Linked DNA regions of Lepisosteus oculatus. The protein of the gene in region 1 purifies or fractionates together with the protein of each later gene. This does not show direct contact. Links are inferred from orthologs where the notes say so. Each region holds a gene or a part of one and is shown in the gene's direction. Other genes may lie near its edges.

Region 1 (7,730 bases):
AGAAAGGAAAGTTTCTATCTCAATGAACTTGTTATTTACCAGAAACTTACAGCAAACAGCTTTGGGGTGTCTGGAATGGAAAAGGCTTTGGGATTATTCTGCATCATTAACTCAGAGAGACTCCAGCTGAACAGATGAGAGGCACATATCAACCAAACTTTCTCATTCCTTGGGGTTACATTACTTGAGAGCTGTTAGAGATGAGGTTAATGTCTGTACGCTTTTCTGTGTAATGACAAAAAACAGGGCCCATTTGTAAATTTTGTAAATTATTTGTAAAAAGGGCCCATTACCATTTAAAATGTTCATTTTAAAAAAGTATCAATTAAGACAATTGAGCTGTTCCACGGCTTGCCAATTCACAGACATGTGCTTTTCTCCTCAGCCCCGGCTAGACAGCTCTGCTGGCCAAGAGTCTGAAATCGGGCTGGGGGGACTGGACTCCTTTGCCTCAGCCTCCACAGACCGAGAACTGTGTGTGCAGTGGTATTGCCCAGCACTGCACACTGGACACACACAGCCTGTGGTAACTGTCTGTCACTATTCACACAAAAAAGTTACTCAGTCTTTTCCCAACGTAATGCTATGCCACCTTACTTGAGTACTGAATAATGACAGTAACAGACGAGACAACAGTAACACATACTGTAGAGCATACATACAAATGGAATTGTAACTGTTTGGTGACATCATTTTAATCAGTGATCATGATTCTCAGGGATATAATAATGAATTTAATGATCTTTGTATCATTGTTCTGAGTTTGGTTTGATTTGTGTGCTGCTGTGCCCCTGGTCTCTAGATCTTACTGGTCTTTGCCTGCAACACCAGGCCCCTCTCTGCAGTCAGGCCCTCAGGTGGTGGCCTGTCCGGCCTACACTGTGGACATCGCTGGATCCCCTTACATAGGTGATAGCCTGCCCTCTCTGTCTGTGGTCACCCCTGTATCCCTTCTTCCGAGTTTCTGAGGACCACTTTCACTGCCCTTCTCTTCGCTCTGTTGAACCCTCTCTCCAACCCCTGCCAGTATCGTTCCAGCAATTTCCATCTTCTGCTGTCCTGTCTCTTCATCTCGGACTCCTCCTCTCGCTTTTTTCAGGCTGCAGGCTGTTCATGCCCAGTTATGCTCCCTGTGTGTGGATGCTGAGCAATCGGCACCTCCTGTGGCCAGTTCCCCCAGCCCTCAAGTGGAGAAGCGTCGTCAGGCAAGGACCCCGGGGACGGGGCAAGCCCTGGACCCTCCGATACAGGTACTGTCCACTGCCTGAGAGGCTGAAGAGCAGACACAGGACGAGTATTACAAAGACAAAGAAATTCAAAATTCACTCACAGAGAGAACATTTAAGAAGGCTGCTGAAATGAGAATGTAGCATGGAATCGCACAGCCATTCGGGATACAGATTCCATGTTTATTATCAGATGAACACTTCCAGTATAAGGGATTGTCTTTCTTGGATGCACCATGTGACCCAAGCCATATGGTATTTGAATTTTCTTACCTTGAAAGCTTACCTTGAATCTGGGATTGGGTTTCTCAAGTGTTTTGATTTCTATGTATATTTGTACACAGTATATGACACAAGCAGCAGTTTAGCATGAGGAATATTAATGCTCCTCTCTTTGGGTCTGCAGGGGCAGGCCAAGCAGTGCTGCGCACAAGTCAAGTCTTTGCTGCTGGATCTCCCAGAAACAGTGGAGCTCACTGAGGTAGGTCTCCTGCTCTGGGCTTCACCATGGTCATCACCTCATAGCTGGAAAATGGGACTTCCATGAAATAAACAGAAACAGAGTGAGATAATGGCCTTTTTCAGTACGCTGCTTCACCTTCAGAGAAGTAAAATATGTTGGAAGTGCACTTAAAAAATAAGTTGCATGATGAAAGGCTGAAAGGCTAAGAATTTCTTGATCTTGACCAAGTCTGTTCTGATTAGCGAAGAAAAAAAAAAGAGTCTGCTCAGGACTGGACAGTGGAGCACTATTATTGTCCCTGATTGCCTCAGTTAAATCTAAGTGCTCATTTTGTTTTAGTATTACTGCAAGTTCAGCATGATCGTAGTAGATTTCCCTGCGTTGCCTTGGGAATTAGGTATTCTGCTCTAAAGTAAACTGAAAAGTAAAAATTTCCATCCTTACTCTGCAGAATGCAGAATTCTTACTTTCAACTGCAGAATTGTAATTGAAATTGTAATTTCATTTGAAATGAATCCTTCATTTAACTACATAAGTCCTTTAAAATCTCTCATTTGTAGTGACTGCCTTGAGTGTATCAATTCATACAGCAAGGTATTTATTGACGAAATCACCTTGCTCAACGGTACAACAATCCCAACATGGATTTGAACTCATGGAGACTGAAGTGTGAAGTTTTAACCACTACTTCATATCCCTGCCTAAAGTTTACAACTCAAGATGAGACATCTGCTTTGTTTTTTTTACATGAGAAATAAAAGTAAAACAACAAACCTTTATAAAGAACTTACTAACCACCCATGGAAAAAATGAGAGTATATTTCAGGTTATTTTAATCTCCGAAAAAATCTTTTAAGCCTTAGAAAAATATTTTAAGAAGGCCTCATTCTGAAGAAAGCAAGAGGCTCAGAGGACTTCCACTTGGTAAAGAGGTGTGCTACATTAAATATCAAGAGAGTCTCCTTCCACTTAGCTCCCTTGCCAAAATGTGTCATTCTCAGGGACATACTGTACAAAACAATGTGTAGCCATGCTGAAAGGAAAAGAAAAAAAAACGTAACGTCCATTCTTTCAGCATGGAATAAACCTTTACCTGTTCCTTTGCAGCCTACTCATGCTGACGAAGCTACCTACTTGAACTTCTTCAACCCCTGTGTAGCTATGACATCTGCCCTAAACCGAAATTTAACTAAATTTGGAACAATCTTGCACTGAGTGTGAGAACGTCCTAACTACACCTATATTCCAGCATGGAGTTTTCAGAAGTCTATCATTCTGTGCTATTTTCATGTACACTTTTTCTTACTACTTGGTTTACTTGCTACTTTGCCTTCTACAATGACTTTTCTGATTGTACGTGCTGTGTAGAAATGTCACCATCACTGTCTCACTGCAGCTGTAGATTTTCCAGCTGAGGCCTCACTATAAATATACCTGCACAATTCTGCCTGGCTTGTATTGCGTGCTGGGCTTCAGTCCTAGTCCTTTTTCAGCACAGTATGTCCTTTACTATCACCAATCTGGGGCTCTGCACTGGATTATTTAGTCATAAAGGAAAGGAAGTGCCAGTTGTTGGTATATAATGTTATTGTGCTCTTGGGTGTAGTGTATTAGCTGTGTGATGTGTAATTGGACTTGATGAAAAAGACTATCCTAAGTGAATTTTCATATACAGAAACACCTGTCTTGCTTTTTAGTCTAATACTGCCTGTTGTTCTGCTCTTTTTGTCTCCATTGAAGGTTCCCTTTGAGCTGAGCAATCAGGCCCTGCGTGATCTGGAGCAGTGCTTTAACCCCGCCAGAGGCTTTGTGCTTCAAGCGGGTAGCGTCTTCGACTGGCTCATGTCCCTGCTGGTCTGAGGCCTACAAAGATATCAACAGTCTGAATGTTTCCCCATGGTGTCCACGTCAGTGTGGCAGAAATAAAATGAATGTGTATCTACAGAGCATCTCAAGTGTTTTTAATGAGTACCTTATCATAACCTCCATTGTCCTATCCCAATATCACAATCTGATTATTACTCAAAAAAAATAGTTTTTAATCCAGCACATCACCCATCAGATCAATGTTGTTTCACCAAGGCTTTTACAGCTAGTAATTGTACAGAAAGCGATGCTGTGGCTTTATTAGTCAAATCTGCATTAATACAACTGCAGTGTCTGCAATATTAATAGACCCCAGGACAGGCATTCCCATTTGAAAGACTGAAACACTGCCCAATAACTCAAGCTGTGAAGCATTGTTTTTTTTATAACAGTATCAAACTATATACTATAGATCACTACATAAAGGCATCTCAAAATCGCACATACTAAGTACAAAATAACAAGGTACTAATAGAAATATAAAATCCAGAAAAAAAATAATTCAAAAATGAAATACTAGGAAAATGAACACAGAGGACTCAGTCTTTACCCAGAGGGAGAATTTTATAATGCAGACTTGATTATGGTATATAGGATATTACACTTTTCCTCATATATACCTATGTATAAAATATAAAGCAGGAGTTATGTAGCCAAGGTTTTGTCAAGACCCAGTCCATTATGGGTTTAAAATCGTGACCAGTGCCGATTTAGGGTATTCTAAAACTATCATCAGGAGAGAGATTTCGTTACTTTCGTTACTTACTTATACTTTCCGTCAATAATCAAGAAAACTGTCACTTGTATTATTTTTTTGAATAGCCATGTCCTTTATACATCATATTAACAAGTAAAAGTGGGGTCACATACTGTATATAATACATTTTCAAAAGGCAATCGGTCCCGAGTCCTGTTAACACAAACAACTGCAGTTCAAACGACTTTACTATAGTGAAGTACGAAGTTACTACAAACGGATTTCAATGGAAAAACAAGTGGGTGTTGGGCGGATCGCTAGTAGTGTGAACGGCCACTGCATTTAAACTTTCCGGTACTTTCTGCAACACAGCGTTACGGTATCCGAGCGCCGGCTCGCATCTGCTGACGTAGACGAGTCTGTGCTTTGCAAGCCGAGAGCCAGAGGCGCTGAGCTCCCACCCGGCCAGTCCTCTCGGGAGCCGCACGGTCGAGTTCGCCTCTTGGCCCCGCCGCGTTGCCGTAGCGGCGGGCGCCGCGGAGCCTGCAGGCGCGGAAATTCCTGCTGGGGGCCGGAAACTTTAGTGGGGCGTTGAACGGAGTGAAGACTGAAGTGGCGAAGAGAGAGAAGGGTGGCGGGGACAACCGTGGAGTAGCGCAAACCCCCCCCCCGCGCCACAAAACCATAGAGGGACTGGACCTGCTGTGCTGCAGGAAAACTGGGGGAGGGAATAAATACCACCTGCTAGTCGAGTGAAGTAGCCAAGGTAAGGGTCCTGGCTCTGGGGTTGTTCGAGTCCGCCGCTAATTATAGGATAATCCTTGTCAAGTATGTACATAAACAGCAGACGTGAAAACCTTAGCGAAAGGCAACGAGTTGCAAGGGGGGCGAATCGTAACTATAATAAAAGCTGACCAGAAACTTCTTATTTATTGTTAGGTTGTCCCAGCAACAGTTGGTATTGATATTGATAAGCCTGCCGTTTTGTTTCAATTAAATATGAGCAGCTGATGATCCGGATTTAGCGGGTCCCGCTTTCATGCTGCGAAGACTACGGCTCGATATTGGCCTAATTGTCTGTATTGCGATTTTCAAATTCATCTGTAAACGTGACGCATCTGTAGATGTTTCCCAGTCTCGCTGTCAGGTAGCCATGCTGGATTTAGCTGCGACTTATTCACGCAACTGTGTATTCATTTGATCTGTGAGTGAACGTATAGGTGAAACCCACATAAAACTTTATTTTCACATTTACATGAATACATGAATTTACATGAATAATACGAGTTTCTGGCCACGTTTAATATGCTTTGTGGTATTTCTTATTTTAAAAGAAATCCGAAGTTTTGCCATGCGGATTTTGAAGTTAATACGCTTACAGAGCTGGAGAAAATGACATTTAGACAAACACCTTGAGGCGGTTTGCAGAAATAAAGCGTGCACTTTCCTATTATATTGTAGACTTCTTGAATTATTTAGGCTGTATGATGTTGCTACTGTACATGTGCACTATTAAGAGCTTACTTTTGAAAATGGTTATTTGCGATGTAGTTTTAGGACAAAAAACGTAAGGAGCTTGAAATGATCTCTTCATTCTTGTGCATTGAGGCAAAGGCACTTATCTAATCCTGGTCACTAACAACATCGGCATGAAAAGAGTTCCTTACACCTCACTGCATAGCTCTTAATATGTCATGTTAGCCTGAATTCTGTCATCGTCCAGTCCTGTGCAAACAGCAGTCACTGACAAGCTTGCTCACTCACTGCATACTAACGAGGATGTAAAGCACGGTACAAAATAATTTGGTGGTGAGGATAGTTTCATGATTGGGTACCTTTGAGCAACACTCACCGACAGAGGAACAGACATAAAATCATGATCCTAATGAAATGGTGGTTCTGTTGCCAACCCCACCTCAGCAGAATCACAGTAATAAGACCAAGTGTGGTCTAAATTATTCTTAGGTAATTGTTTTATGATAATAACAGTAATGATAAGGGGGTTAGGAGAACATTGTTCTTGTAGCCTTTTTCAGCATCCCACAATTACCAGTAGGTCATAGCATTTGTGTATGTATTTTCCTGTTCTTTCAAGAACAAGGTTTCACCAAGGGTTGAAGGGCATAAATATGCCTCTTTAGTGTTGTAAGTATGCTAATACTCCATATTTAGTTCAGGTGGGTAGCTGCGTCAGCATGCGTAGGCTGCAAAGGAACAAGTAATAGGTTTATTCCATGCTGAAAAAAAGAAGAAAGAGAACACAACGTTTCGGCCGTGGAGCCTTCTTCAGGTGTCACACCTGAAGAAGGCTCCACGGCCGAAACGTTGTGTTCTCTTTCTTCTTTTTTTCAGCATGGAATACTCCATATTTATGTATTCAATGTCCGTGCTTGTTTTCAGTCATGAGCAGGATTCCCAGTGGTTACAATTTTATTTGTATTCCTGAGTGCTTTTGCCTTCTGTAGTGCCTCTGTACATGTGTAGTGTGCCCCTCACCGAACTGGGCAATATTTCCTGTTGTTTCCTGGTTAGCCAGCTGGACAAGAGTGGGCAGCTGTAGTCATTGCAGTTCCTAACACACAGCCCATCACCACTTTGAAGGGCATCAGCTGTGCAATGGCATCACATTACAAAACAACTGCAGTTCCTGCGACCTGAACATGGTGGTTCTGTTTTATTTGCAACTACAGTAGGTCTGGTAGAACCTTCTGTATGCACATTATCGCTGGCGTGAGGTGTTGCTTGAAATGTGTTTTAAAATCATTTTTAATGAACCAGTTAGCACTCAAGAGCCATTCCCTCTGCAATAATGGTGTTCCTTTCTAATATTATCATTTCTATACTCAAAACACTCCCAGAAACAACCAAGTAAATGAAATGAAAGCTGTGTTCCACATGGCCAAGTTATAACATGGGTAATTCACTTCTATTTATAACCATCATTGTAAGGAGATGGTCATTTGAGCTTGTGCAACACAGTGCTTTAAATAATGATTGCAGTATTTTTTGAAAAGATGTTTCAGGGCATGTTGACATTGCAAATCCAGCAGCTTTTTTTCTATGTAAAACAATTGTCATTTGACATTCTTTGCAAAACCGAAAGTCCAGACTCTTTTATCCCAATGCTTCAGTCTTTGCCAGTGAACATTTCCTTTTCAATTTCCCTAACTCAGGCATCCGGTAAACTAACTCAGCACTGTGATGGTGTGCCATCTTCTGTGCTCTTCTGCAGTCTTCCCTCTCAGTGCTCAAGTACTTTGCTTGTGATTTGGCAGGTGCATCCATGGATGAGGCCATTCGACTGGTGTCATCCGGAGACGATGTGAAGATCTGGAACTCGAGCTCTATGACAGTAGTCGAGCAGTTCAACCCCCACAGCATCACTCACCCTGTGTCCCGAGTGTGCTGGAGCAGCAACAGTATCCTTAACGCACCGGTCAGCACAATCTGTTCATGCACTGACCAGTTTGGGTGGACA
Region 2 (7,542 bases), on another chromosome or scaffold:
TCTCACCGGGGAAGCGGTCCCCCGAGGAGCAGCCGGAGGATTCGGGTGAAACCAAACGGCAGCGGACCACCTGAGGTGGACAGGCCCGCCCCATTCCTCCAGTTCCCACAGACCTGCCGCTGCAGGCCCGGTGCCCCCTGGCGGGGCACCCTGGCGCCTCAGGCAGGGGAGACTGAACTGTTGATGCAGGACCTGACCTGCACCTGTGAATTCCCACCTCTGGCTGTTCCCAGATGCCCACGTCTTGAAAGCAGCAGCTGCTTTACTGCAAGACAGGAGATGGGAGCAGCGTTTCTTACAACATTCACACAACTGGGCTTCGACCTGGACTGTCACAGTTCACAGAGGATTAAAGATCATATCTGAAGCAGAACTGTGGTTATTTATTTTACTGTACTGTATTTTATTTTTAACATTTTTAAATAGAAGGCATTGTGGAGATGATCTTTCATACCTTGTGCTAAACTCTTCCTCATCACTGACCCATTAATAAATAGAATCAGTAAAGAAGGATAAACTGCCACTGATCCAGGTTAGTGTTTTAGAAGAAGATGCACTATTTTAAATGTGTAGCAGTTCAAAAACTCTTTGCAGAAAATGATAAAAAGCTGATTTGAATATGTATGGCAGAAGAGAGACTCAAGGAATGTTCCTTGCTGTCAGCTTTTCAGTGCCACAAGCTCACTGTGATTACATTCAGGCTATTCACCGAGAGTAACGTGCTTTGTAACATGCTGTGGGCTGATACCCACTGCCGTCTAGGATGGGATAAAATGAGCAGATTCTGCATTTAACGTGAAATGGGAGTCTAGCTGTTCAAAGACTGCTGAGGAAGAAGGCCTCGGTCTGCTGTGCCAGCAAGCTGCTTTGATTGCACCCAGCCTGGGGTTTGTCCCTGTCACGGGAGTGTCCATCTGGTGTCGAGTTAAGCCAAAGGATAAAATGATCAATTCATTCTGCATCCTTTAACCAGATATTCTTGTCATCTTACCCATGTTCAGTAGGACAGTGTAGTTCTTTTTAAAATGTACTGTATTCCTATTGATCATAATACCTACAGTACTGTTTCCAACAGAGTATGAACGTTTCTGTAAAATGTTTTCAAATGTGTAAAATTGATGGGTGGAGTTGCAGCCTTATCAAGCTTTCCTGTGAGGACACTGCCTTCTGAATTACTTCCATAGTCTTATTATTAAAAAGGAAACTGTGTACGTCTTAGCCTTAATCTGAAGATGATTTTTGCCCTTGGGTGTTGCAGGTCAGCAATGGTAGAGACTGGTAGTGACTGAGAGGCCTGTGATGTTGGATACATAAGAACGTTGTGTAATATATCACACATGTGCGCTGCTAATTTACTTCCTCATGTTATTTCATTGCTCACTCAGCAGGATTGTTTTTTCTGCCTTTATAGTACTAGTCAGCAATGAAAATAACGTTGAAGTATCTCAACACGGCTCCCGTTGGAACAAAGTAGGAGCTGGATTTTAGTGCCTGGCTGTTGCCAGCTCTCTGCTTTCTCGTTTCGCACAAAAGCTCGCCCAGGCCGCCGGAGGCAGACGTGCTGGGCGTGGGTTCTGTCACAGGAGCACTGAACAAAGCCCTTCTGTTGTTGGCGATAAGAATTGTAACAGCCACTGCAGTGAAAGACTGATGAGGGTGGGTGTTTACCTTCGGAAATGTAACAGACATTCATAAATAAGCCTTAAGAAGTTTTTGTCATCGTTTGTAAATAACAATAAAGCACCGAGATGAAGATGCCAATGTTTCAGCGTAGTAGCTACTTGCAGGTTGTTGGAAGAACACTTGATTTCTGGCAGGGCCCTGGTGTGGTTTTGAAATATCTCTTTAGCTGTTCATGATAGAAGACTTTTTGAAATCATGACTTCCAGGACATTTCATGCCAAGTTCTCAAGCCTAGCGTTTTTACTCAATTTATTAAATCAAATGTTACATAAATTGTACTGCAACTTATGAAACCACTCCTGCCATTACTGGAATTGCAAGTTCTTATTTGCTAGTCTGATTAAAAGTAATTTTGAATTAGTGGTGGCCATTTGTAAAGACAGGATAAAGATTAATAAAAATTAATCTCCTGTGATCTGAGTGTTGTAGAAATATGCTTAGATAAGAAAATGATCATAATTCACCTTTGGGGGGATAAAATAGTATTCCATATAATGACCATATTAAACCACTGAAAAAAATACAGAAACCTAAATTTGTATAAAAATATTAAATGTATATTTTTAAATTGTTGTGCTGTCAATTTACACCGTAGGTCACAAAATGTGATACGTTATGCGGCTCCTCGTTCTTTTGACTTCTTTTTAAATTATTTTTTTTAAATACTTTGAAATCTCCCAGTTAGATTTCAACAATTAAAATGCGCTATTTGGCAAATATATGAGTCAGAAATTGAATTTAGCCATTGACAGCTAGTATTGATGGGGACGTTCAGGCTGAGGGCATTACTCTTATTCAGGGAACGATTTTTTACTTGCCAATATATACCCAAAGGTAAAAAAAAGCTCTGTGTTGAAATACCCTACTCTCATATGTGTACATCTCGATTCTTCCCCTGACTGCACGGTAGACACAAAGCACTGAGACATGAGAAATGTCAGCCTCAATGAAAGCTTTTAGATGTTTCTATAATTGTTCTGGCAATAGGTTGTTTTGTCAAGTCATACTTGACATATTGAACACTACTGTGATCTGTGATAAAAGTCAGAGAGCATTTGATTTAATTATTTAGCTGATTGCGTTTCTTAACTAGAGACGGAACAATACCTTTCCAGAGGCACGGCTCAGTGATAAATGCAAGTGGACATCACCATGATAGTGATAAACGCGTTACACTAAATTTCTCCATTTAATTTCAACGTCGTGCCTGCTGCTCTTGAAATATAATTACAGTTAGACAAAAGGAATGATTATATCCTGTTTTTATGAGAAATGGAAGTTATATTCGGGGCGAAGTTTATGATAGCTGGCTTTAAAACAAAGCAACACCTGGTGATCCTTTTTTTTTGTTGGCAGCTGAACTAAAATTCGTTTAGTGGAGTTTGACGCCCTCTACTGGACGGATTGGACGTCCAGATTCGGTTTATCGTCTAAAATCAGATGTCCAGATGTTATAATAATAATTACTCACACTTATATAGCGCTTTTCTGGACACTCCACTCAAAGCGCTTTACAGGTAATGGGGATCCCCTCCACCCCCACCAATGTGCAGCCCCACCTGGATGAATTATAGTTATACATTTTTACTTCAAGGTATAAAGGTATGTGTGCGGGTATTTGACGTTGTAGACCACAACCAAAATTGATCTTGAAATCTGTGCAAATGCGACTGATTTATTATGGTAGGATATGCCTCGGAATTATCCATGTTCAAATAATTCTCGTTCTGTCCTTTATCATTAATTAGTCTGAATCTTGTATCCAAAAAATCATCCAGGCGGGGCTGCACACTGGTGGTGGTGGAGGGGATCCCCATTACCTGTAAAGCGCTTTGAGTGGAGTGTCCAAAAAAGCGCTATATAAGTGTAAGCAATTATTATTATTATTATTATTATTATTATTATTATTATTATTATTATTATTTTATTGTTATTATTAAAAAGCGACATTCATCACTATACATTTGTAGAGCTAGGTATATAGTTTACTCTAGGGTACAACAGGAGTATTTTGGGATTTGACCCGACAACCTTTCTACAGATCTAGCGAGTCATTATCTGCTGTTCATCAGAAATTAGTCCAAATTGTGATAGATAAACGATCGCTGTAATTTTTATGTCAGTCTGTGTGACGATAAACAGTGGAGTAAAAAATGGACAACATTACCAACCATGAGTGGTAACATCGGAGTTATTTTAGTTCGACGAAACAACAACAAATTACTAGAAGCAGATTTAGCATAATTCATACAGAAAAATACATTATTTTATTCGTTTATTTTTGGGAAAAGCGGAAAGCGAACTGGAAAATAATCACACAATGACATTCAACTTCAAACATTCTTGACGTTGTCATTCAACATGCCTTTCGTTAAAAAGGTTATCATCTTATATTATTTAAAAATATGTGCATTGATTATTTAAAGTAATTTTGAAACAGGACCGTCCAGCAGCGGTTCACATGGCACACTCTCTGCATGAGGAACTGCGGTGCGCGATCGTGTTTCCACTCGGCTCGGAGTGTAGAGGAGCACAGATAGTTTCCACCCGAGAAACTTTCTGGGTGGGACCTGCGTCGTTACGGAATTGACAGCTGTGTTATCTTTAAGGTAAGAAACATATACTCTATTAAAATGCCAGCGGTGCTATATCTCAGCACGTTGGCTGAGTTAGTAAAGGTGATGCAGTGTGTTAGCCTTAGAGAGTTTGTTTTCCTTTTTGTAGACCGAGCGAGTTTCTTGGATTTGCATTGATGAAGCAGTTGTACTCGAGCCCTGTTTTCAATTCACACGGAGTTATTCAGAATCACTCTCATTGATTCGGAATTGGCGAGCGGGCAGGGACGAATATTTGACTGATTCTAAAAACAGGTGATGCAGAAAACGTCCCTGACTGGTGTGGGATCCGCTTTGACCACCAGTAATAAACGGGATTTTGTGCTGATCTCCGCGATCTGCCGTTCATGTTTGTGAACTAATACGAACGTCCGTAGAGCAAATTAGAAAACATGATTAAACATTATTCATTAGGGCTTTTGCAATAGCAAAGCACTGCGAATATGGGGTTAGAGAGGCATGATAAGCAAAGATACAAGACACAAGTCTTGTCTATAAGATATGATTTTTAATTAAACGAAACAAAAATACCTATTCTTTTTTGTATTGAAAGCTAACAAAGTACGGTATTTTCAGTGGCCTTTAGGCGTCCTGCGAGACGTTTTGATTCCTCTAGGCAGGGGGTGTAAATATGGTCAGGTTTTAGCTAATGCTTTGTGCAGGTGTCGATGTTTCTGCTCATACTCGTTAGTCTCAATCGACAACGTGCAGCACAGAAACCGGCAGCGACGGGGTCTCTCTGCCCTGCCAGGGAATGGCGCTCTCTCAGCAGGCCGCCGCGCTGGCGCCCAGCCTGGAGCCGCCCGCCCTGGTGGCCACGGTGAGTGGGAACGTCCAGAAGTACGCCCTGAAGAAAAAGAAGGTCCTCAGTGCGGAGGAGACGGACCTGTTCGAGCTGGCGCAGGCGGCCGGGATCACGGTGGACCAGGAGGTGTTCAAGTAAGGCCCAGCAGAGCACACACACTGGTTCTGTACTGCTTGCTTCCCCTGCTGGCCTTTCCAACATGATGAGCTTCAGCTCAGTCTATTTGTCATGTGCACAAGTGCACTGAAATGCTTATTTGCATGTGCACTCCGATACAGAGCGCATCAGGGTGAGCCAGCGGTAGGGGTAGAGTTCAGTAATCTGATAGCTTGTGGGACGAAACTGTCTCTGACTCTGGAATTCATCCAGCCATCTTCCAACCGCTTTTTCCAGTTCAGGGTCATGGGGGAGCCAGCGTCTGTCCCAGCAGGACACACACAGACACACACAGACACACACAGACACACACAGACACACACAGACACACCAGGGCCAGTTTCCCCAGAAGGCAGTGAATGTTTTTGGACTATGGGAGGAAACTGGAGCACCTGGAGGAATCCCAAACACAGGGAGAACATACAGAGCACACATAAAGCACCCTGGGTCTGGATTGCTGTCCGATCCAGCGATGCTAATCACTGCACCACTGAGCTGCCCTACTGAAACTCACTCACATGCAAAGCTGAATTAGAACTGCAGTGGAGGGGAGGGTATAATGGAGTTCTACATAAAATGGATTTGCAAAGATAAAGATTTTTGATCCTTTCTTAATGTGGGTTCTGAGAGCCATATAAAGGCCTCCACGCTGTTGGAAAGCATGTGGTTTATTCCAGAGGGGTGTTGTACACATTTGCAAACAGTTCCAGGGTTAAAGTCTATCTGAAATACAGCTCCCATCGGATGGCTGATCTGCGTGTTTCATAACCTTATAGTGTGAACAGAAGTGAACAGCATGCCCAAGAATGTGTATATATTCATTCAGTTTCTTTTGTGCTGATTCATAATGCATGGTGACTTTTGTGGAAGAACAATTGCTGATCCCCAAATTTTGGGGATACAGAAAGGAACAATTTTAACAATTTTTTAAAACAGAAGAAACCTGGAGTATGACCTAAAGCAATCTGCGACAGTGTTAATGTCTCTGTAAACTTTCATGCGGTCTGTCCTCAGGATCATTGTGGACCTGCTGAAGATGAATGTTGCTCCTCTGGCCGTCTTCCAGATGCTGAAGGCCATGTGTGCTGGACAGAGGATCGCTGACACCTCGGCTGGGGAGAGTTTGTCTGGGTCCCAGCACATTGCGGCCCCTGAGCCCAGAGGTTAGACAGTGGGGGCCAAACAGGTCATGGTCAGGCTTAGGGGCTCCATGCCTTCCTCTGTGAAAGTTTACATTAGTACCTATTATTGGCAGTGTTGCGCTTTTATTATGGTGTTCATCTGGTTGCACACAAACCTTTCCTGTAGCCCTGCCATGCTGTAGGTGTGTTTTATTATACTATGTAAAGAACGTGCCATAATGTACTGTAGCAAATGTTCGTAAGTGTGTGTAGCGTTCAGTTAGGGTCTAGCGTAATAGGGCAAAGTGACCTGATAAAAACGTAGAAAAACATTCACAATACCCAAGTGAATTAGTGCTGAACACCATAGTAAGTAAGCAATTATCATTCAGCTTTGCTATGGTGATCACTTGCTTTTCATTGCTACAAGCCTGGCTTCTAATCCTATGGAAAAATATCAGAAGACAAATCTTTAAATATATAACGTTATCCCACAGCATCTTGATGCCACCAAGACTTATATTTCTTCAGCCTGGGCTTAAGCTGGAAGGGCTTGAATTGCACAACATTATTTTGGGTGATATTTAAGATTCCGGCTCTAGGTTCTTAGTGGGATTGGGGGGTCTCCGTAGTAATGCAGGCCACCTCCTGCCTTTGACATGCTAGGTGGGTATGTGACTTGAACGGCAGTGCAGTCTGGTGATTCTGCCATTGCATTGGCCTTTAGCACTGTGTTCATTTACAGGTGCTGCTGCCTGAGCCGCATCTGCTGTGTTTCTGTGCAAGCAGACCGATGGAGCTCAGACTGCTTGTCCTATACTCTCACATAGCTGCAGCACCCATTGCCTTTGCTAGACAGTCAGAAACTTGCTTTGCTGTACCATCTCTTACAGAGAGCTTTCCTTTCACCTGTGCTGCTCGTTATGACACAGATCATTTTCCCAGCGCTTCTCTTGATTAGTACGTACAAGGGCAGATTCACCTTCGTTGTTTGGAAGGACTCCCATCGCTGCTGCAGCATCATAAACTCTGCTCAAAGGTCACAGACGTCTTCTGCTGCCTCTGCTGAGGAAAGTCTTGGCTTCAGCTGCGCAGCTTGCAGAGTGATGCTTCTGTCCCGCATTTTGGAAGGGGGCCAAGGAACAAGCACTGTCACTCATAC
Region 3 (7,553 bases), on another chromosome or scaffold:
AGTAATAGGTTTATTCCAACGTTTCCGAAAACACAACGTTTCGGCCGTGGAGCCTTCTTCAGGTGTCTTCTTCAGGAGCCTTCTTCAGCCTTTATTACTACTTATTCTCTTTCACTCAGCTCGCAATCACGAGGAGTTACGAGGGCTTTTTATACCACAGCTGTGGCCATGATCAACCTCCGATGTTTCAATAATTATCACGATAAGATCAAAGCTGACCTGACATGAGGATTTTATTATACCTTAATGCAGAATACAAATACCATAGTGTTTTCAGCTGCTCAGAAAATAACACCCACATCACAACACAGCAGAGCCTCTGCCTTCTTCCTTGGACACAAAGAAGGAAATCATGACTGAACAAGTGGAACTTGGTTTAACTTAAATTTGAACAAGGTTTAAAAGTAGCTTTTGCTCGGTTACTCCTTCCGTTCAAGATGAGCCTCACTGCAAGATCCCTTTCTGGTCTGACTGTAATGGAGAAATGTGGGCAAGTAAGGGAAAACTCATGAGGAAGGAGCAGCAGTTGTCAAAAGAGCAGACTGTGTGGAGAGACGGGGTTGCGGGCCGACACGTGTACAGGTGTTACATTATCTTAGTGTAAATCAGGGGTGTCCAGCAGGGGGCAGATCTCTACAGCAGGAGCTGGGTGAAGCTTTTAAAAGGGTCTGAGACAAGCCCGGTAACAGGCCGGTTCAGCTCGTTAACTGTTGAGCTGGAAGCAAAAACCCACGGACTCAGGCACTGAGCAGTGCCTGCCGTGCATCAACACTGCCCTCTAGAGGAAGGCCTTTAAGAGTCTTATCACTGTTAGAACAACTTGGCTGCACCTATCCATTTTCTGACCACTCCTTTAGGGTCAAGAGGAAGCTAAAAATCTATCCCAGCAAGCAACAGGTGCAAGGTAGGACACACCCTGGATGGGACGCCCATCACAGGGCAGACAGACACTAACACAGACACCAGCGCCAATTTCCCCAGAAGCCAATTAACCCAGCAGCAGGTCTTCAGACAGTGGGAGGAAACCCAAGCAAATACTGGGAGAACATATAAAGTCCAGCTTCGATACAGGATGGTGAAATCTCCCATTTTTGTTGGGCATGATTCTGTATTCAAGGTCTTGTGACAGCCATCTGTTTTTTTTAATATTTAATATTTATTTTTAAATAACAATAATGAATAATTCCTTACACTTAAATAGAGTTTTTTTTTCTGGAGACTCCACTCAAAGCTCTTTACAGGAAATGGGAAATCCCACCACCACCACCAATGTGTAGCCCCACCTGGATGAGGTAAGACATTAATAAGAGGTCATGACTGGCAAAGGTCAGGGGGAAATTTGCCAGGACACCAGGGTCACACCCGTACTCTTTTCAAGAAATGCCCTAGGATTTTTAATGACCCCAAAGAATCAGGACCTCAGTTTGATATCTCATCCAAAGGACGGTGCCTTTGTACAATAAAGTGGTCCCATCACTGTACTGGGGCATTAGGACCCCTAAGTTGGTCCTAATGCCCTAATGCAAGGGCTGTTGGCATCTTTCTCAGAGTGGTGGGAGTGTGGAACTCGAGGTTTTAAAGGGGTAGATGGACCACAGGGCGTCCTCTCTCTTGAAGTCTTTCCTGTCTCCCAGTTTAATTTTCTGCAGGTGGGTGAGTTCCTGCTGTGGCTTTGTGCTAGGCGGGGAGGGGTAGTGGTGTCACAGTTTTGTGGTTAGCGGGCACAGGGTGGACGGTATCCTCTTGACTTCTCTTCCCTTCAGGGAGCCTGCACCTCAGCCTGGCCCTGGTGAGGGGTGGCAGGCTGTGTCCCTAGCTCATCTTTTGCAAAGGCCACGGTATTTTTACTTTCTGAGAAAAGGGGACTGACAGCTAAATGTTTTGAAAAAGGGCAAGGGCCATATCCCCCTGCAGCTCCCAGCTAGCAGCCCAGTGGAGCTCAGCGGGTGTGAGCCTGGCCTGTACCTGGATGGAAGTCTCCTGGGAAAGCTAAGGCTGCTGCTGGAAGAGGTGTTAGTGGACCAGTAGGGGGCGCTCACCCTGTGGCCTGTGTGGTTCCTAATGCCCCAGTACAGTGACGGGGACACTAGACTGTAAACAGGTACTGTCCTTCATGTGAGCTGTAAAACCAAGATCTTCACTCTCCATGGTCATTAAAAATCCCAGAGTGTTTCTACCTTGCCTTTATCAATCATGGCCTCCTAATAATCCCCCTATCTGAACTGGCTTCATCACTCTGCTCTCCTCCCCACTGAGAGCTGGTGTGTGGTGAGAGTACTGGAGCATCATCCAGGTGGGGCTGCACACTGGTGGTGGAGGGGATCCTTCTTACCTGTAAAGCGCTTTGAGTGGAGAGTCCAGAAAAGCACCAGATAAGTGTAAGCAATTATTATTATTCCTACATTCATTCACTCATTAGTCCACTTGATGGTGAGAGTTACACTACAGTCACCTATTCCACTGTAAATAAGAGCAGATTTCACTAAGATCGGATATAACAATCTCTGGCACGTTTCTGAGCATTAATAGTTAAAAATAATCCCTCCACCACCAGTGTGCAGCCCCACCTGGATGATGCTCCAGTACTCTCCCCACACACCGGCTCTCAGTGGGGAGGAGAGCAGAGTGATGAAGCCAGTTCAGAGAGGGGGGTTATTAGGAGGCCATGATTGGTAAAGGAGATTGAGAAATGCCCAGGGATTTTTAATGGCCACAGAGAGTCAGGACCTCGGTTTTAAATCTCATCCAAAGCAAGATGGCCTTTTTACAGTATAGTGTCCACTCTGTATATTGTATAGTGTATTCAATACTTATATTGTAGTGAGAAACAGGTGAAGGTTAGTTCCAAACTGAAAAGAAAAACATTTCGGCTGTGGAGCCTTCTTCAGGTGGGGCTTCATCAGGCCTTCCTCACACCAGAAGAAGGCTCCACAGCCGAAACGTTGTGTTTCTTCTCTTCTCAGCAGGGAATGTTCCTTTGCAGCCTGCACATGCTGTCGCAGCTACCCTGCTTGCAGTGGGAAATCCATATTCACGCCCCTAAGGACACTGTCCCCATATGACTTGTAATTCAACACTCTAGTGTTGCTAAGATAGCTGTCTGAGATTCCTCAGTGAGTGGGGCAGTGGGTAGCATCGCTGTTGCGCAGTGCTGGGGCCCTGGGTTTAATTCCGGACCCGGGGTGCTGTCTGTGTGGAGTTTGCATGTTCCCCCGTCATTTATGTTGGAGTTTTCTCCCACTGTCCAAAAACGCATAGTCTTCCCCGTGATGGACAGGCATGGTGTCTTGTGCCCATAGCCTGCTGGGATATGCTCTGGCTCCCCTGAGCCCCTGACTAGAATAATCGCTTTGAAAATGGAGGAAAACCTCACAGACACGGTATTCTAAACTTTCGGGGAGCCCAATATTCCGGTCCTTTATTTGTAGAAGCATCTTTCATTTTTTTCATCACTGCGATGTCGAGCCCCCTTACAACCAGATTTCTCTAGAACATAGCAATGGTTAATTATTGCATGGACCTACGTGTTCCCTTTTTTTAGTTATCTCCTCCTAGGTCAACAAGCTACCCAGTGAAGAAAAAAACCAAACATCTGCGCTATGAATACCAGCAAGTCCAGCTTCCTGGTGTGTTTTTGTGTGGTCGCTATTGTTATCGCTATCCCGAGTTCAGAGGGATCTTCTAAATATAAAAGCGCATCTGTCCTTATCTTTAAATTCAACCCTGAATTCCTATCTTTATGCCTTGCGTTTGAGTTATTGTTTATTGCACTTTTTCAGGCTTTTTCCACCCAATAATGTAATAATAATAATAATAATAATAATAATAATAATAATAATAATAATAATAATAATATATCCGTTCTTTTCGATATTTATCGGTGTTGGTTTTGTATTAAGTTTGTTTTATTGTACTAATCATTACTTTCATCGTATATCAGTCTAATTTAATGCTTTTTGCACCGTTATTTGTTTTTGTTTTTTACAGTTCGTGGTTTATTTTCGATAAACTGTAACTCGGACTAAAGCGTCCGTTAAGATCAAGGAAGACAGTGCAGCGCCCATTCAAGGCGCTCAAGCCTTAACTCCACCCCCTCCCACAACCCTCGCACCGCCCTCTCTCGAACAGCCCAATCACACACAGGCTTCATCCCGAACCACGCCCACGGAGGAGGTGTGCGTCGCCCAGTAAGGCCAAGGCGTTGGTACTACGCCCCTCCCTCTTGCTGGAAACTTCCTCCGTCGAGGTGCATTGTGGGAGCTTCCGACCGGCTTGAGCGTAGCGACAGAGCCGACAAGATGATGGTGAGTGAATGGATTTACCCTCCCTTTGCAACCCGCTTTCATCCATCTGTCACCCATCTCTAGAATATCGAACCGCACGGGTGGTTCGACGAAGCAGACCCCCTTCTCTTAAGAACCGGCAGTATCGGTCGTGGAAGAAGGATGATCGCGTTCAATTTGTTTGTTTGGATTTCTCGTGGTTACGGTCTCCGTCTCTTTCAGTGGGGGTGCTGCCTTGTCATTGTCGCTCGACTCAGAAGCGCCGCTGGCTGAAACAGAAAAGCTGCTTGTTTGTTGAAAACCGTGTTTGTCTTTTTTGTTCCGGGATCGGAGTCCCATGTGTTACCGCGGGTTTCCCGTCTTTAATCGTGTTGTGGGAGAGAGAAATGCACCGATTCGCCGCGCCAGTCCTCTGACAGTCTTCGGTAGGCCTGAGACATGACAGTTTGGGCCCTGTTGAACTACTGTCTCTAGTTACGGTAAAAAAAAAACAAAACCGAACCTTTATCAAAGGAGGTTTCTGTCTGTGTGTTTCAGTCCAGCCCTCCGTGTGCTGAACCGTGTGCACAGTAACCGATTACAGTACCGAGGGAGGGGCTGAAGTGCTCTCCTTTTGTGCAGTGTTGAATATTTTGCCTAAAAAAATCATTGAAGTCTCCTGGTTTGGTGCAGCTGCAGTTTTTTTTTAATTCTGCAAAATAAGTGATGGACAATGGCTGTTCCCCTCCTTGAGGGGGTCCCCCCCCCTAGTCCCAGGGAGCCCCAATCCAGCTATTCGTTTAGGTCACCCTAAATCGCCCGGTGAAAGCTATTGATGTTTTTGTCCCTAGTGATCTCCACCTGACTTAATTGAACACATTGCCTGTTGAGTTGATGGCAGTTAACTTCCAGTATTTATGGACTTCAGAGATGAGACTTCATAGAGACTGATTTAAAGGCAAGAGTGTGGCTCTACAGGACCAGCCCTGGACTGGCTGGATCAGGGCTAGAGAACCCCCCTGGGCTGTAACAGTAGTTCTAATGATCTTATTTCAGAGGCCTCTGGAGACACTACCTCCTCACAACAGGGAGCTGTGCCTTTCTGCCTGCCTCAAATAGAATAAAAAGAGCTCTCTCCTTTATTCTTTGTGTGCCATCAAGTCCCAGGTGTGGCCAGTAGGTCACCTCGTGCTTGGTGCAGAATATCACAAGAAGTGTTCACCTCCTTCTTGCTGAAATATCGCTGCTGGTGTCTGTTGCTAGGTTACAGCACAGGGCTGGTTCCAGTCCCATCACTGGAGAAAACCTTAGTAATGTCCTCGGGAGGAAGTCACAAGATGGATCCGGATTGGCAATCGATGCAGCTCCCATAGAAAAGAGATTGTTGCACCAAGGCTACAGTGATTGCAGAAATATTCAGTTGAATGCTTTGTATTCTTCCCCACAGGCTTGTCTTTTTCTCTCTTCCTAATCTGCATAATGCAAAGCAAGTCTTCGCTGCTCTGCAGCAGGGAATTACAAACATACACAGTCTTAATGTTGGTGTAGTCCTGTTACGCTTCAGCACTTTGGTGAGGTTCCATTGTCGTGCTCGGCGAGTTTGGCCGCAGTGGGGTTCTGGCAAGTCGCCGTGGTGACAGTCCCCCCTCTTGCTCCGCAGCCCACACCAGTGATCCTGCTGAAAGAGGGGACGGACACCTCCCAGGGCGTCCCCCAGCTCGTCAGCAACATCAACGCCTGCCAGGTCATCTCCGAGGCCGTGCGCACCACCCTGGGGCCACGCGGCATGGACAAGCTCATGGTGGACAGCAGAGGTGAGCCCCGCCGCCTGCTCTCGGGGCAATGGCCAGAGGGAGACCCCCCCCTAGCCCGTTTGACAGTGATCCGAGGGTCTCTTACCCTGGCTGCCTCCAAGAGGTGCTCGTGTTGATAACGTGGCTAGACAGCTTGTTCTGCACTCCTACCACCCTTTGTGTAAACAAGTGCCTCCCATCCCGCCTGGACAATCTCTTTTAGCTGTGTCTTGAAAGAAGCCAGGTTATTGGCTTGAACAACATGGCTAGACAGCTTGTTCCACACTCCTACCACCCTTTGTGTAAAGAAGCCCCCCCCCCCCCCCCCCTCCCCCCTCAGTTTTCAATGCTGTTCCCTGAAAATTTCACTGGTGTCCGCTGGGTTGCCATTGTCAGGGCCCTTAAGGGTTGTATCAGGTCCCCTAATTGTTCTGTTCTGTACTTGAAAGGCTCGGCTTCATCAGCCTGTCGTGTACAACTTCTTGAGCCCCTGAAAATAGCTGATCTTGTCATTTTCTGTTCTGTGGAGCGCCTTAATTCTAGCATTCTTATCACTCCCACTCCACGTCGTCCTTAGAAGTGATGAGGCACGAGCTTGTGTACCGTTATGCACCCAAGTGGCAATGGGCTCCTGTCCTGCTCATCTCACATGAATAGATCATATACTAAAGATAGTATTCTGCAATAAAATAGCAAAGTAACTTGTGGATTAACTAGACTGTTTTAATCAAATTAAAACCAAGATTCAGATATCGAAAGTTAAGTGCTGCACAGCCATAACTATTTTCTTGTACTTTTGAATCCATATCTGTTTAAAATTTTATCTGTTCTTATTTCTGATGGCTTTAGGTGACCAAGGTATTGCCTTATGCAGCGTAGACCACTGTCTGAAATAATAAACCTGTATTGAAACAGAAATGCATCCTGTCCAGATCAAGTCCACGCAGGGTGGAGATCTGAGCTGCACACTTCTCTGTTGGCGGCTTCAGGGTGACGACGCCAGTTTGCATGCGGAGAAACTGTTCAGTGTGTCTTGCCTGGCTGTGAGGAACGTGCACTGCAGCAGTCCTGGCCCAGAAATCGTATTTCTGAGTGTTCTTCCAGTAGGTCATGTGGGGCTAGCTGGTAGCAGCTGGCTAACGGTATCCCGTGATATTTTTCTTCCTCCTGTAGGGAAAGCTACCATCTCCAATGACGGCGCCACCATTCTGAAGCTCCTGGATGTGGTTCACCCAGCCGCCAAGACCCTGGTGGACATCGCCAAGTCCCAGGATGCCGAGGTGAGTGTCCGTCGAACGCCTCCCTGTTGACCCTACGAGGTCCGGGAGTTGGTCTGTGTTCAGAGACTCAAGCAGTCTCCCTCTGGGTGGGCTAGCAAGAAGCGAAGGTGGGCTACTTTTTAAACAAAGCTCTGTGACAGTTCCCTGCATTTCAGAAAACATGCACAGGTTGGTTCCACGCTGAAAAGCAAAGAGAACAGACACAAGGTTTTGGCCAT

Evidence for each region. The genes of interacting proteins can lie anywhere in the genome.
Region 2: the proteins of nedd1 (region 1) and mzt2b purify together in Homo sapiens (affinity purification with mass spectrometry; 3 studies listed by BioGRID and IntAct, with this or other methods). This does not show direct contact. The link is inferred for Lepisosteus oculatus from reciprocal best matches to the Homo sapiens genes NEDD1 and MZT2B.
Region 3: the proteins of nedd1 (region 1) and cct7 purify together in Homo sapiens (affinity purification with mass spectrometry; 3 studies listed by BioGRID and IntAct, counting the BioPlex papers as one, with this or other methods). This does not show direct contact. The link is inferred for Lepisosteus oculatus from reciprocal best matches to the Homo sapiens genes NEDD1 and CCT7.

The regions. Positions count from the first base shown.
Region 1 is NC_090702.1:51,105,153-51,112,882, forward strand, and holds the start of nedd1 (protein NEDD1), read left to right. Parts: upstream 1-4,689; 5' UTR 4,690-5,018; intron 5,019-7,527; 5' UTR 7,528-7,535; coding exon 7,536-7,671; intron 7,672-7,730. Other genes in the region: cfap54 (cilia- and flagella-associated protein 54), read left to right, coding at 386-526, 803-909, 1,100-1,250, 1,633-1,707, 3,430-3,549. UniProt on the Homo sapiens protein: Required for mitosis progression. Promotes the nucleation of microtubules from the spindle.
Region 2 is NC_090717.1:14,236,627-14,244,168, reverse strand, and holds the start of mzt2b (mitotic-spindle organizing protein 2), read left to right. Parts: upstream 1-4,187; 5' UTR 4,188-4,292; intron 4,293-5,009; exon of another isoform or gene 5,010-5,049; 5' UTR 5,050-5,052; coding exon 5,053-5,237; intron 5,238-6,273; coding exon 6,274-6,422; intron 6,423-7,542. Other genes in the region: uncharacterized protein, read left to right, coding at 1-74. UniProt on the Homo sapiens protein: Required for the recruitment and the assembly of the gamma-tubulin ring complex (gTuRC) at the centrosome.
Region 3 is NC_090699.1:10,568,141-10,575,693, forward strand, and holds the start of cct7 (T-complex protein 1 subunit eta), read left to right. Parts: upstream 1-4,198; 5' UTR 4,199-4,298; coding exon 4,299-4,304; intron 4,305-5,922; coding exon 5,923-6,076; intron 6,077-7,228; coding exon 7,229-7,335; intron 7,336-7,553. UniProt on the Homo sapiens protein: Component of the chaperonin-containing T-complex (TRiC), a molecular chaperone complex that assists the folding of actin, tubulin and other proteins upon ATP hydrolysis.